Caenorhabditis elegans: one gene and its partner. The protein of the gene in region 2 purifies or fractionates together with the protein of the main gene of each other region. This does not show direct contact. Each region holds a gene or a part of one and is shown on either strand. Other genes may lie near its edges.

The links. Proteins that work in one complex are often made in the same cells at the same time.
Region 1: the proteins of K04C2.2 (region 2) and T01B7.5 fractionate together in Caenorhabditis elegans (co-fractionation; one large-scale study listed by BioGRID). This does not show direct contact.

Annotation. Positions count from the first base shown.
Region 1 is NC_003280.10:8,715,204-8,722,194, forward strand, and holds T01B7.5 (Sas10 C-terminal domain-containing protein), read left to right. Parts: upstream 1-1,630; 5' UTR 1,631-1,641; coding exon 1,642-1,664; intron 1,665-1,716; coding exon 1,717-1,922; intron 1,923-1,966; coding exon 1,967-2,190; exon of another isoform or gene 2,191-2,233; coding exon 2,234-2,320; intron 2,321-3,185; coding exon 3,186-3,292; intron 3,293-3,339; coding exon 3,340-3,460; intron 3,461-3,505; coding exon 3,506-3,664; intron 3,665-3,830; coding exon 3,831-3,983; intron 3,984-4,729; coding exon 4,730-4,873; 3' UTR 4,874-4,878; intron 4,879-6,309; 3' UTR 6,310-6,482; downstream 6,483-6,991. Other genes in the region: cyn-11 (Peptidyl-prolyl cis-trans isomerase 11), read right to left, coding at 1-99, 537-717, 763-921, 976-1,077; T01B7.13 (uncharacterized protein), read left to right, coding at 214-368, 418-514.
Region 2 is NC_003281.10:6,888,164-6,895,651, reverse strand, and holds K04C2.2 (DNA polymerase V), read right to left. Parts: upstream 5,879-7,488; 5' UTR 5,878-5,878; coding exon 5,776-5,877; intron 5,724-5,775; coding exon 5,532-5,723; intron 5,486-5,531; coding exon 5,285-5,485; intron 5,229-5,284; coding exon 5,037-5,228; intron 4,993-5,036; coding exon 4,905-4,992; intron 4,858-4,904; coding exon 4,667-4,857; intron 4,662-4,666; exon of another isoform or gene 4,609-4,661; coding exon of another isoform or gene 4,523-4,608; intron 4,470-4,522; coding exon of another isoform or gene 4,350-4,469; intron 4,169-4,349; coding exon of another isoform or gene 4,048-4,168; exon of another isoform or gene 3,992-4,047; intron 3,569-3,991; coding exon 3,392-3,568; intron 3,346-3,391; coding exon 3,181-3,345; intron 3,136-3,180; coding exon 2,996-3,135; intron 2,951-2,995; coding exon 2,686-2,950; intron 2,630-2,685; coding exon 2,462-2,629; intron 2,416-2,461; coding exon 2,143-2,415; intron 2,092-2,142; coding exon 1,987-2,091; intron 1,936-1,986; coding exon 1,606-1,935; intron 1,561-1,605; coding exon 1,420-1,560; intron 1,006-1,419; and 5 more. Other genes in the region: K04C2.5 (INSulin related), read left to right, coding at 4,048-4,168, 4,350-4,469, 4,523-4,608; brd-1 (BRCA1-associated RING domain protein 1), read left to right, coding at 6,157-6,218, 6,262-6,321, 6,371-6,539, 6,583-6,758, 7,076-7,135, 7,184-7,361, 7,415-7,488.

The DNA.
Region 1 (6,991 bases), on a different chromosome or scaffold from region 2:
CACATTGAACAACAACAATCGGAAGTTTCGGCTTGTTATTGGCTCCAGTTGGAACATTTTCGATTTTCCGAACCGTCAGCATTCCATCGAGTACTCGTCCTGCAATAAACGATCGGTCAGAAATATCAAACATATCAATGGCGTCATTAACTAGCTTTATCTCGTATAAAAGGTGATAAGGATATAAGGAAATCTAGTTGTTTTAGCTAGACGATGACACGCATTCTCGTTCTAATTTTTTTCTTTTTAAAATGCGTTTCATTGCAAACATTACTTCCTTTATTGTATGCTAACGCTGGCATGTTCAACCCATATAATCAGTATAAAACAACAACTATGGCACCATCAATGTATCACCAACATTATCAGTGGGTATCATTAAAATTTGCGATTTTCTTTTTAAAACACTGCTTTCAGGGGATTGGGATGGAGAACTAATGACGTTGGAGACATTTATCACAATCACAATCCGTATTCTTCTTTCTTTGTACTACAGAAATCAACTTATCCGTGAATTTGAAATAAAAAAAAATTACCAAAAACTACATGTTTGTTGTCAAGGAAATCGGTTTTTGCGCAAGTGATAAAAAACTGACAACCATTTGTGTCAGAGCCAGCGTTAGCCATCGAAAGCATTCCTGGTCCTATGTGCTTCAGCTCGAAATTCTCGTCACGGAACTTTGAACCATAGATGCTCATCAAACCGGTTCCATCGCCCTGAAAAAATGATATAACTTTAAAATTTAAAATTGTTAAACTTACGTTGCAGAAGTCGCCACCCTGAATCATAAAGTCCTTGATCACACGATGAAATGTGCAGTTTTTGTATCCGTTTGGGACACCATCTTTTTTGTATTCTCCTGTACAGAACTGACGAAAGTTTTCAGCAGTTCTCGGTGTTACATCAGCAAATAACTCGATCTGAAAAATTATGAAATATATAGCAAATTAAAACTGGAATGGTCGTCAACTTACAACAATAGTTCCGATTGGTGCACCACCGGCGGTAACTTCTAGAAAAACGATTGGGTTATCCGGATGACGGAGCTGCTCGGCAAACTTGTCGTATTCAGTCATTCTGAAAAAGAAAACATATAAATGAGTTAGTTTTTAAAACCAGAAAAACGTTTTCTGTAAGTATTCGAAATAAGTATTTTCGAAATGTGTCAGGTTTTTCCGAGAATAATGGGATCAACTGAACTAATCGTTCATAAGTTTTATAACCAAGAAATACAAATTCGTCAATAAAATTCGACATATTCAAGAAAAAAGTGATATTCGTTCTATTCAAAACAAAAAAAGGTGAGCATTAAATGGGTGTATAGAACAATAATAAAGTGCGCGGGTAGTTTGCAATCAGAAACCCCGCCCACAAAGCCCTGCCGCTAATAATTTTCCCCCGTCTTTTCTCAAATTCAACTCGAAAATTCAATTTTTGAATAATTTATCTTGTAAAAGTTCGTTCTATTCATTTAAAAATTAATTTATCGAAGTTTATCACACGATTAAAGCATAATTAACTTTATTAGAGTTATTCATTGATTTGAAAATCAGAATTTGGTTTATTTTCGGTCGGTGCAATCCGTTTCTCTGTTGAAAATGCTATAAATTGCTAATTTTTGGATTTCAGATACTAGAACTATGTCATCAAGGAAGGGGAAAGCGTAAGTTGAATGTTTTTCACAATTTATAAATAATCATTAAATATATTTTCAGATCTGCTCATATCTCATACGAAGACGAAAATGATGATCTCATTGATGAAATCAATACTTTTCATAACAAAGACAGAAAAGTCGAAAAGGGTGCTATTCACAAAAGAAAAACATTCAATCGTCCAGAAGAGGTGTTAAACGTTGAAGCAGAAGCATCGGATAGCAGTGAAGACGATGGATCCGACTTTGATGATGACGATGTTAATGGTAGTTTTCTTTCTGAATTACCTGATTAACGTAATTTATTTAAGATATCACGGACAACAAATGGGGTAAAAAGAGGAAAGATTTCTATGGAACTGGATTCGTGGATAAAGATTGGGGCGGAATGCGTGAAGAAGAAATGGAAGATGCTCAACTCGAAGAGGAAGATGCGTTGACTCGTCAAAAACAAATCGACAAATCGACAGCTGCCATTGCTGATTTATTTGACGACGACGATGAAGATGAGGAAGAAAAAGAAGAAACTGTCGAGGTAAACGAATTGAAAGAATAATTAAAATAATGAAAAGTTTTAGGTGGAAACAGTTTTAGAATTCAATGAGGAGAATGCAAGGACAAAGAACAAAAAAATCGTGAAAACTCTGGAACAATTTGAAGCAAGAGTAAGTTCTAATTTTTTAAAATGTCTCTTCACTTTTTTCCCGGTATCAGTTGCAGCTTCTTCCTCTTGTGATAATTTCCTATTTCTTCCTAATGCCAATTCTCGAAAGTTTATTAAATTTTGAAGCTATCACTTGTGAACATCAAATGCTGATTCGTATCGTTTCCAAGGTTAATTTTTCGTGTTCTCTCTTTTTCAGTATCTTCCCGTTTTCACTTCATCTGTTCTCTTCATTCTTTCAACTAAACACCACCGATGGCTAGTAGATAAGCGGTCTCAAATCGCGCAATCGTCTCTGATTACGTCAAAAACGGGTTGCCATCATAGCCTAAGGATGCTGGACGATTCGCTTTAAACGATGATTCTCAACGGACAAAACACACAATTGAAACGATTTAAATCATCCAACATCAGACGCCGTTATGTGTGAACATTAAAAAGCGAAAGCAAAGTGCCCTTCTGGTGTCTGAAGAATTCGATGCCTGAACTGCTCGAGTTAGTTTCGTATGTTCTCATCCTCAAACATCACATTCTAATTATTCTCATAACTTGTCTTGTTTTCCTCGTTTCTGTTCACCTGGTCGGTTTGTAATTCACACCAAACGATGTTGGACATATATCGGCAGCGACCGCCAGCTTTTTCTGTTTTTCAATTATATATTGCTACTTTCAATTCTAATTAGCGGCTAAGAATTGTTATACAGCTGTTTCCGGAGAGCTCGTGACCAGTTTCCTTTTCACCTGATAACATTTTCTCTTGTTGTTATCTTTCTCTTCTTCCTTTTCACTTGTTTCTTTTCATCACCATTCTAACAGTTCAATTTTCCCCTTTTTTCGGTTTAATTTTAATTTTTTATACTTTTCAGAAACGCATCTTCGATCTCGTCGTGAAGCCTCTTGAAAATGTAATCAAGCAGATTCCAAAATGCGCATTGCGATCGCAGTTAGTCTACGTTGCCCAGACATATGCATCGTATGTTTTCTTTTCCTAAATTTCCATTTTTATGATTTATCTTTCAGATACCTCATGAACACAGCATTCCTGTTGAATCTCAGAGCCAAACAGTTTTCCAATGAAAAACTCGACGATCCACTTGTTGACATCCATCCTGTAGTGGAGTCGCTGAAACGACTTGAAAAGGTATTCCGATTGATTTAAATTTCAAATACAAACTTTTAAATTCAGAAAATCACCGAGTGTGAAGATTTTTTGCATTCGAATTCGGATCATCTGGATGAGCTCAAGAAATGGGCGGAGTCGGAGCCAGAAAATATGGAAGAATTGATTTCGAAGGTTGGAGATGTTCAACTTACAAAGAAGAATTTTGGAGCAATTATGAACAATGTAAGTTTAGGGAAAACATTATTCGAATTTAAATACATTTTTTGTTTGCCGTATATTTTAAAGATTTTTAAAGTTTGTAAAATTTAAAAAAATTGTACATTCTTTTGTCAATAAAAATCAGGAAACATAGCTGAATTGGATTAAGATCTGGATTTACTTTTTTCAGAATCTTTCAACAATCACATCTTCTGATAACACATCAATTCATCCACACTTCACACCAATGGATGCAGATGAAAAAAGAAAGGCCTCTGACAAAGTTGCCAAAAACCGTGAATACGCAGAACGACGTGGGAAAAAGAAGGCCAAGACCAGCAAGGTAACTTTATTTTCGATTTTTTATCTTATTTTTAATACCAAAAATATTTGTATCATAAACAATTAGTGTATGAAAAATAATTCGATGAGTAGGGTCGACATTTCTTGTGCATGAAAATGTTGTTACAATGCTTTCACGAATACATGAATATATTTGAAAAATAACAATTCTTGTTTGACAAAAAAGTCTCACAAAGCCGAGTTTCATGTGAGATCAAAATATGAATACACTACATAACTCTCTATTTTTTGCTCCAACCCAAAAATCCAATACGTCGAGACGGCGTCTATGCTCCCCACCACAGCGAGTAATTGGCTGCCGAAATCTCAACTTGCTTATTTGGTTTCTATTTTTTTAAGATTCTTTTTCGAGAGTTGTGATAAGAAAATAATTAATTCAGTATCACACCTGCTTGCTACTGAATTCAAAAAAAGTTTTTTAAAAAGCGTAGTGTAATGAATTATCTGAAGCATATTTTAACTCAAAAAGAAAACCGAGCACAAATGAAGCATATAACCATGACTTATTCAGACAGATAAGTAATACGATTTTGTTTAATCTTAATTTTTCTTGAAAGAAATAAAATAGACTCACTGTGACATAGACAATTCAACGTCTAGGCGACGACACTTGAGAGTTTCATCCTTGGTTACGTATACTATGCTCATTTTTACTGCAACTCCCAATTAGCTGCGTTGTGTGTTTTTTTTTTTGAAGTCTCCCAGTTCAATAATTTCTAATTTCAGACTAAAAATCGTCGCAAGGTCCACGCCATCGAGAAGCGCGTCAAGTCTCAGATTGGAAACGTTCGTCGCGAAATGCAGAAATATTCTGGAGAAACGAGCGGAATTCGTGCATCTACAATCAAGTCGACTAAGCTTATCGCTTAAAAAAAGTGAGTTGAATGTAATGCAGACATCTCATTCTGATATCGTGCCATGTCATATTTATCACGCGACATACTCTTCACTCTCCACTGCGCAAATGAGCTTCACTCTTTTACACATGAAAATAATTAGCATATGAAACCGAAAACAATGTGAATATTAACTTTCAACATAAATATCCTATCAACATATAAAAACAATGAAAAACCTGAATTTACTTATCATATGGTACGTATGTTTAACCTTTTCCTATTCCTCTCGTTTGCCCTTTTAGTCGGTTGAATGTGTTTTTGTGTGCCCGGTCACTTTGGGGCTATATTCATCAAAAGAGGATAGCCTTCTTCTTATTCTTCCTCCATCGGTCATTTCGCTCCTCTCTTTTCGACCCCGGCAATATGTGCGCGAGGTCTGGCACCACCGTGTGTGTGTGTGTGAGAGCGAGTATCCTATTTTTTATTCGTGTCCCCCGTCCCCATGAACGACTGGAGCCCTAGCCACCTGCTACTTTCCATTTTAGTTCAGCTGACCTCGTATTGTCTACGAGCTGTTCATAATTTCATAAGAGCAATAAAGTGTACTATAAAACTGTGATTTCAGACTGTTTCTCTATTTTTGAATCTTTTTAAATACAACAAATTCGAAAAGGTGTTGACTAGTCTGTCTGAATGAATATTTTAATTTGAGATTTGAGTCTGATGTGTGTTACACATTGATGAGAATTTAAAGTAATTGTGACGTGTCATTCTCGAAAACCAAGCCTCTTCGGATTTGTTCAATAATTCGTATAGCTCGTTTCATGTCAGAAAGGCGAATACCCGTAACTAAATTACTTTTTCCTAGAATGCTAAAGAAAATAACTGATCTATTTCAATCAAGTTTAGGCTAAAATTTAATAATTGATGGCGTTCACATATGTGTGTGTGCCTGCGTGTGTTTGCGTGTTCGATGATAAGCTTTCTTCTGATTGTCTTCCTATGATTCATCAATTCTATTGCCTCCAGCCTCTTCTTCTTTCATACAATTTTTCACTGAAAGTTTCATAGCTCTCGGAAAATGCCTACGACGAAAATTGTAGTCACATATCACATATTGATAAGCAGACGTTTTTCATATTTCTCTATTTCTATTCAATGATATAAAGTGGTCTGCAGCATGTTTGATTATTAATTTTTTTTTTTCTAAATTGAATTATCTTGGCTTTGAACTGATTAAAAAATGCATTTTCTATTTTCTTTACAATCGATCGTTTTGTTATAGTCCTCGTGTGAATTCTAAAAATGTTCGTTCATCAGAAATTATAGATGACCTTTGTTTATTTTGTGTCTTCTATGAAAAAAAAAAGAGCCTATCATCCAAAACTTCTGATATCAACGGTTGAAAATTAATTTTTATCAATTTTCTCAACATTGCATTACCTTTTCAACCAATTTAATTTTCAGGTGTCATCAATTTCTCCGTTGCCACTGCATTCAGCTGGACTTTCCTGGTTTTTTTGATCGTTAATATCTTGTTTTCTTTGATTTATTCATTTTTCATTTATCCTGTTAACCTTCGTTGTTGATTTTTTTTGTTCCTAAAATCGCCCTTTCTACCAAAATGAAGTTGAGTTTTCAATTTTATTGAAAATAATTATTTTATTGCCTTATATCGGTTTGAAACCCGACGAATATCTTTCTTCTATTATCTTATTATTGTCATTTCCCATATTCACATTACTTCTTCATTATTATCTTCATACATTGTTATCACATGGCTCCTCATTGATTATGATAGATTCATTTCCCCTCTGGAGATTTGATTGTCTTGGCAACAGTCATTCTCCCCACCAACACATATCAGCTCGCAGCTCCGCCTCATTCTACATTTTCTCATTTTACATTCCATTCAGTCGGCTCAGTGTCTTTCGTTTCCCCAAAAAGCTCGCTTAGATATAAACCTATAATTATCAGAGTGTTGAAGCAAACATCTCCGATGCTCGGTGAGCTGCAGTGACTAACTGAGACAAGCACTGGTTTTCAGCTTAGAAATTCACCTGTTTCTGTGGCATTTTCGCAATATTATATTTCCTGAATTTCTTAGAATCAGAGTGTCACTGTAATTTCAGCTGCTCGTTACCGAGGC
Region 2 (7,488 bases):
AAAAAAACAATTTTTTAAAAGTTTTTTGTCGGAAAATCTGGATAATTCATTTTTTAATGGCTAAAAAAAGACAATCAAAAAGATTCATCTTTATTCAAACTTTGTTCGGAAGCTTCTACCGTAATCTTCTCGGAAATGTTCAATGATTCCTGTTTCTTTTCCCACTCTCTCATTCTTCCACGTTATTTCACCAACTTTTGAGAGAACTTCTGCGTCGTTTGATCTGTCTCTCAAAAACTTTCAAAAAGTGACCGAAAACAACTGATACGACTTTGATAGACATTTAGCTTCTAGAAATCATATAAGACGAAGAGACGCAGAGAAAGTGTCTTTCGAAAATCGTCTCATTGAAGAGAGAGCATGAGACACAGACTATCTTTCATCAACGAGTTTCTTATCAGTGTAACTTTTGCAGAAAGAACAAAAGTTAGAGACTGTGTAGATCGTGGCGACGCAGTGTGCTGATCATTGAGGAAACTGATCGGAGGAAAAAACGGATTTTCAAAAGTCCTCGAAACATTTAGGTTTTCTTCGCTGTGTCATTTGGGAAGAACTAAATCTTCAAAAAAAACAATTTCAATTGAATAAAAAACATTAAAATTCAACAATTGGAAGAACATTTCAAGGGGAACAGAGGGAATTGATTAAAACAATTAAAAAACAACAACAACAAATGAGATAACAATGTGGAGGGAGCATTTTTTTGTCTAAAAATATTAATTTTCAATATCCAAGCTCTTCTTGATAGAGGTGAATGCACCAGCGATAGACTTTCCGATGATCTGAAATATTGCACTTAAATTCTGCCTGTTCAATTTGAAAACTTACGTGATGGCAGGTCGGGTTGATCTTTTTCAGTTGAATGAAAACTTCACCTTCAAACATCTTCTGAATGACATATTCGAGAGATTCGCGGAGTGCATCCACGTGTTTCTCGTCGTTTTGAATGCAAACTGTGACCTTGAGAATGAGTTGAAGGACAGTTCCGAATAGGCGTGGTTTGAGCTGAAAAAGATGAAAATTTACAAAAGTTATATACTTTGTTTGGTTTTTCCTTTTGGCATTGTCAAAGTCCAAAAAATACACATTTTTTTCGAAACCGAAAAATGAAGAAAGCAAAAAGTTGGTTTTTTTCGACAACGAATGAAATTTTAATTGTTTTAACCATAAAGCAATATACTTAAAATTTCGATGTTAATTTTTTGGAAACATGTTTATAATTTAAAAAAAAAACGTTTAAAGTTTTACGTAAAAAGTTTTTTTTGACCGTTCAACAATTTTTTGTTGATGTTTTTTGCTATTTTTTCAATAAAAAGTGAAAAATTAATTTTTCGCCAAAAAAAAAAACGAAAGAAGCGAAAAGTATTTAGCTCGGGTACCGTGATTCAGGTAATTTTTTTTAATATTTGAAAGCCATACCTCCGATTTATCAGAATCAACAACTTTCTGGAAGTAAGCAGCGGCCAATTTTCCAATTTTCTTGATAATCGCACCCTTGATATTCGTCTCCTGGAGCACTTGCTTCGTGAAAATCATCGCAATGGCTCCGAGAATTTCAGTCTAAATTTTACAGAAATTAAATAAAAATGTGTTTTTAATACGTACTCTTTTGAAAATTCGATTCTCCTCATCAAATCCGGCATCAATGAGCATTCCAAGTTGATCAACAAACAGCAATGGAAGATCGGCGATTGGCTGAATGACAAAATTCGATGGAACCTTTCCTTCCACATTCTTCAGATAATTTTCAAAAAGTGATTGGAATTCTGTTTTGACACCAGCTGACATCGATTTTCCATCGCGAGAACTAATCTTGAGCACAAAAGTGACACATCGTGCTACTGTATCAATAATCAGAATATTTGTAGTTGTCTGCGCCTCATCGAGAACTTGTTTCAGAAGTTGAAGAGCATCTTTCTCGGAAACATCAGTAAACTGAAATTATTTGTTAAGAACTATTTTTTCACAACTGAAATATGCTCTCACCTTCATCTTCACAACAATGTTTACAAGTTCTAACACTTTTTGAGCAACCTTGTCGTGAGTTTTTGCGTCGACTTTAGCCCATTTCAAGAGTGGAACGACAAGTTTCTGAAATAAATTTAAGTAATATTCTTAGAAACTCTTATATACCAATCTTACAATTTTGCTCTGTTCAGCAAGCTCCTTTGATGAAATTGCGATGAGCAAAAGGTCGGCAATTTTCATTTTCAGAGCTTCTACACTCTTTGCACTACGCTTCTTATCTTTTCCAGCTTTTGGAGCAATTGCTTTGAATGCGGCAGCGAGTCTCTCATCCATTTTCTGCATTGCTTCATCATCTAAATCATCCATTTCCACGTCACTGCTAGAATCTCTCGGAGCAGCATCTCCAAGAGCAGCATTCAATTTATCAAGAAGTTCTTGATCAACTGCCTAAAAATATTTATTGTAAAATTTACAAAACGAAAAATGAATGTACCTCATTTCCTTCATCATCATCCTCTTCCTCATCATCATCATCCGAATCACTTGCTTCATCGTCTCCATTTCCAGATGGAATTTCAGATTCATCAAATGGCATTCCTTCCTCGTCTTCCATATCCTCATCATCGTTTCCAGCCAATTCAGCCTCACTCATCATTGCAGTCTGAAATTTCAAAATAAAATTTTTCAGACATTTAGATTTTTCAAAAACCAATTTACCTCAACAATATGACACAAATCTTTAGATTCCAATGTAGGAATAGCATGAACAAAAGCGAATGCAGTTGGAGTACGATGGAACTTTTGCTCGCGGGACAGAATTGAAAGAAGAAGATCGACAAAGACCAGTGAGTTATTTCCATCTGCTTCGTTTTTGGCGATTGCCAAGATTTCTGAGCTATCCGAATCGTAGGCGGCAGAATCTACAGAGCTCGCGGCGATTCGAGACCACAAGCGGGTGACATACCATAGAATTTGAAGGGACCTGAAAAAAATTAACTTTGAAAATGAATTAATATTAAATTCTCACTTCTTGCGAAGTTTGGATTTTCCAATCGATTTCTCAGCTTTCTTTACTTCTTCTTCTCCTTGAACAGCAACAACAAGTTGACGGAGAACCTCTTCGTTTTTCTCAGAAATTTGAATCGATGCGAACTCTCCAGCACGAGTCTGGAATAATTTTTTACTTCAACTTCAAACAAACAATGAACAAACCTTGACATAGAAAAGTGAATCAATAATGCTGGTAACAACAGATTGACTGGTTTCAGTTGCCTTCTGCGACAAAAGAGCAGAGAGAACTGTGATTCGTGATTTTTCATCCCAGTTACTGAATGCAGAGACGATCTTCCGAACTTCATCTTGGTTGGAGAGATTTTCCTGAAAAATCTATATGCTGAAATTGAACCGTCAGTTCTTTTTCTACCTTAATCCACACAGAGATCTGCTTCTTTCCAAGATTTGAAAGTAGGGCGGTCGTAAGGCCGGTACCACAGGCCTTGTCCACATTTCCGCACTTTTCGAGCTCTTTCAGAGCAGTATAGGCTTCTTCATCACGAAGTTCAGAAAGTTTGGATTGGATGAATGCAGCGAAGTCATCCACCTGTAAAATGAAGATATTATTTTGAAATGTGTTTTTTTTTTGTTGTTAAAAGTAAATTTAATTTCCTAGCTAAGCCAGTATCGAAATTTTCTTTAGTTTAAAATCTTTGTTCGAATGTATACTTTTAATAATATTATTCAATATTTTCGTGTTAAAAAGTTCGAATGATAATCAATTTTCAACATTCCTGTCTCTCAAATATCGCTGCAATCTCTCATAAATCTAACATTCTAAATCTAACTCGTAATCCAAATAAAACAATATGTATGGATATAATGAGGTCGTCGTTAATGTGTCATCATCTTATAGAAAGAACTATCTGTATTACACCCAGAATCCCGTTACTTTACACAGTTCATTGTGGTATTCAATGAACAATGCTTCTTCTTTTTCTTCTTTCTTTCATCTATTTCTCATCTTTTTGTTGAACTACGTATTAGTTTTTCATCACTTTGGCAATACTAAATTTGGAACTCAAAATGACAAAATGCTCAATTATTATCGGAATTTTTCTGATCGCGGCAATCAATGGACAAGCGTCTAAAAGGCGGATTCAGTACGAATCGGTTTCACAGTTTTTGTTTCATAACTCTAAATTATGTAAGTTAGAAAATCAATTTAAATTCAAATTTAATCTGTATTATGTAATAACACAAAAGAATAATCTTATAGTATATTTCAGAAATGTTGTAAACGATTTCTGAATTAATTCTTCATAATTTACCAGCATACATTTTTAAGATACAAGAAATTAAATATTGTTCCAACACTTTTTTTACAGGCGGTGATCCATTTTCTGATGCTGTCTGGCTTCCTGTACTCGATTTATGTTCTATCGAGTGTGAAATAACATCCGAATATTGTGTGGAAAATGAGGAACTTACACAACAATGCAAGAAATGTATGTTTTCGATGTTTAGAAGAAAGCTTGAGTTTTAAAAAATCTTTTTTCAGTACCGGAAGATTGCCAGGCTCTTCTCCGAAAAGCAATCAAACAAATTCAGAGACATATTCGATCACAAAAGCCAGTTTACCTTTAGATAATTTCTATCTCACTAATTTTTGTAAATTTGAACAATAAAGACTCTTGAATATTACCTTTTTACTCATCAATCTGAATTGTCCTTTTCCACGTGTAGCGGTCTCCATTCGATTCAAAACTTCTTTAGTAAATACTACAACAATTGATTTCACATCGCCTCCAAAATCAAAGAATTGAGTGACAATCGTGAGAATTCTATCGAAAACTTTCGTCTCGTTGCTTGAAAGGGCCCATGGCTCGAGAACTTCTGAAAATGAGAATTTATAAAAAAAACTTTTCAAAAGTATAACTTACTCAGGTACATTTTATCAAAACCAGATGATTCAACTGATGCTTTGATGAGAAGTGGAAGAAATACTTGAACTGTGGCGAAGTCACAGCGCTGAAAATAAAGTATTTATAAAAATTTTAAAATAGAAAACTAACCTTTAAAGCAGCCAAAATTTTAGGATACTGATCATCAGAAAATTGAATAGATCCGTCTTTCTTTACAAACTTTGCGTATTTTGCAACCACTGTTGAATGAGAATTACGAAGGCGAAGTGCCAGGTAGACATTTTCCGGTGTGAACTGAGAGCTGAGACCTTCCAAATTCATTTCGATGGCTGGGGATACACTCTGAAATTTAAAAATTAATATAGATTTGTTTTTGTTCAAACAGTAAATTGATTTACCTTTTGGAAAACACTTTCTTTTGTCTTTGTAGCCAAACTGCATAGAAGGTTAATCTGTGAAAATGCCAAGCTTGGAGCAAAGTCTCTGATTTTCTTCGAATGCTCAACAATTTTTGTAGCTTCTGCTTCTTTGAGTTTTCTGGTTTGACAATATGTGACAAGAATAAGATAATGTCCAATTGCATGTCCGGTACCAACAGTCTGAATCGAAACATTTAGTACAAATAAAGGAACTTACAATCCCAACCTTTTCTGCCAGGTCCATCTTTTTATCTGCAACGGCCAATATTTTGTCGAGTTCCCATGATTCGCCTGCTTTTGTCATTAAAATAGTACCCAAAGCGGTTGTATATCCCAAACGAACAGCAGCACGAGCTGAAGCACATCCAGAAATAAGACGTTCAATCACATATGTGTTGAGCTCGTTATCGGATAATTCCTAAAAAAATAACACTTTAATTAGGCATTTATTTCAGCTACTTTTTTCCTACCTCTTGTTTGCTTGAAAGCTGTCTAACTGCTCCTTTTCTGACTAATGGATCGAGCTCAGCAAGCTTTGAAATAATATCGAGTAATTCACTTGGCGGTCTCATGCTTAAAACTTAAAATTATAATTAAAAAGAGAATAAATTGACGAGAGGATCATTCTCGTGAATTTTCCAGACCAAGTAAACTGTATTTTTCTATAAAACACAAAAAATAAATGTAATTTTAGTTTAATGAAAGAAAAAGAAATAGAAGTAAAATATTTTGTTCGTAAAATAAAATGTATTCTGTGCGCACGCACCACACCTGACGCGCAAACAAACAAGTGCGATTTTCGAATTTTATTCTTTTCCTGTTTGATTTAATTATTGTTTCAGCGTCAAATAATGTTTGAAAACACTAAAAAAGCATTGGAAACGTTTCGAACAGCTATCGAGTGTGTTAAATGGTAAGTTGTTGTACAAGATTTTGCCTCTTAAATAAAATTTCAGCAAAAAACCGAGGGGAGACTTGCAATATCTCGGATCATCTTGCAAACATGCTTATTGCTGGTAGGTATTGCAACCTAATAAATTGTCAATAACTTCAGTTTATGTTCAGGGAATGTATCGCCACATTTCAACAGAAACCGTCTGGAAAACGCTCTTCAGTGGCTCGACACATGTGTCCGAGTTGTGCTTTCCCACTAGACACATCCAAAATCACAGAAGCTCATATGCTGAAAACGTGCTTTGATACTTTGTCTGAACTAAACGACCTTTTACAGAAAGTAAGTCAATGGTGAAAAGCTCGAAAATTAAATTCTCATTTAGGTCGGAACAACATCTCTAACTCAAGCAGAGTTTGCCTGTACACAAAACATTTTTAACAAAGAAAAAACTCCAGCTGATGCCGTAGAGAAATTCCTGGAGACGCAAGCTCATATGCCAGACGAGATGGGACAACTTGGTGAAGAGGATGATGATTTGATGTGTAAAGATGAAAACCGGTAAGTCGAAAAAATCTGCGTTCGGGGGGAATCGAACCCCCGTCGAATGCTTGGAAGGCATCCATGCTGACCATTACACCACGAACGCGACATATCGGGGATATCTTTCCGAGAAAACGATTCCCGTCATGCTTCTTCTACAAACCTGATGCGGTCTATTTGGTGGCTTCAAGTAGAAATGTCTCTTCATTTAATAGCTGGTTTCCCATGCCGCGTTCGTGGTGTAATGGTCAGCATGGATGCCTTCCAAGCATTCGACGGGGGTTCGATTCCCCCCGAACGCAGAACTTTTTTTCATATTTTCCCAGTAAATTCAGGGAAAATTCAAACTCTCCAGAATTGGATATATTCCACGACTACAGCAAAGAAGCTTCTCCGTGAGTTTGTTACATTGCTTCAATTAATTGAATTTTATTTACTTTTAGAACGCGTAATTCGACAAAACGCCCTTCAACTGTCAGTGTTCATGAGAGAAAACCCAAAAGGTCATCGATACTGAAAACTTCCGTCAAAAATGAACCGGCTGCGCCTGTAGTTGATCTTTTTGCATCGCAAGTTCCGCAGAGAACTCATCAAAATGATTTACTGACGCCGTTTATTGAGGTATGACAATTTCACTTTAAAGACGCTTCAGAACTTTAACGGAAATTCTTCAGCGTCGCTCAACTGCTCCAGCAGCAACTGGTGTTGCAACGTATGCTCAAGCTTTCGGAAGTAGCAGTAATCCAGT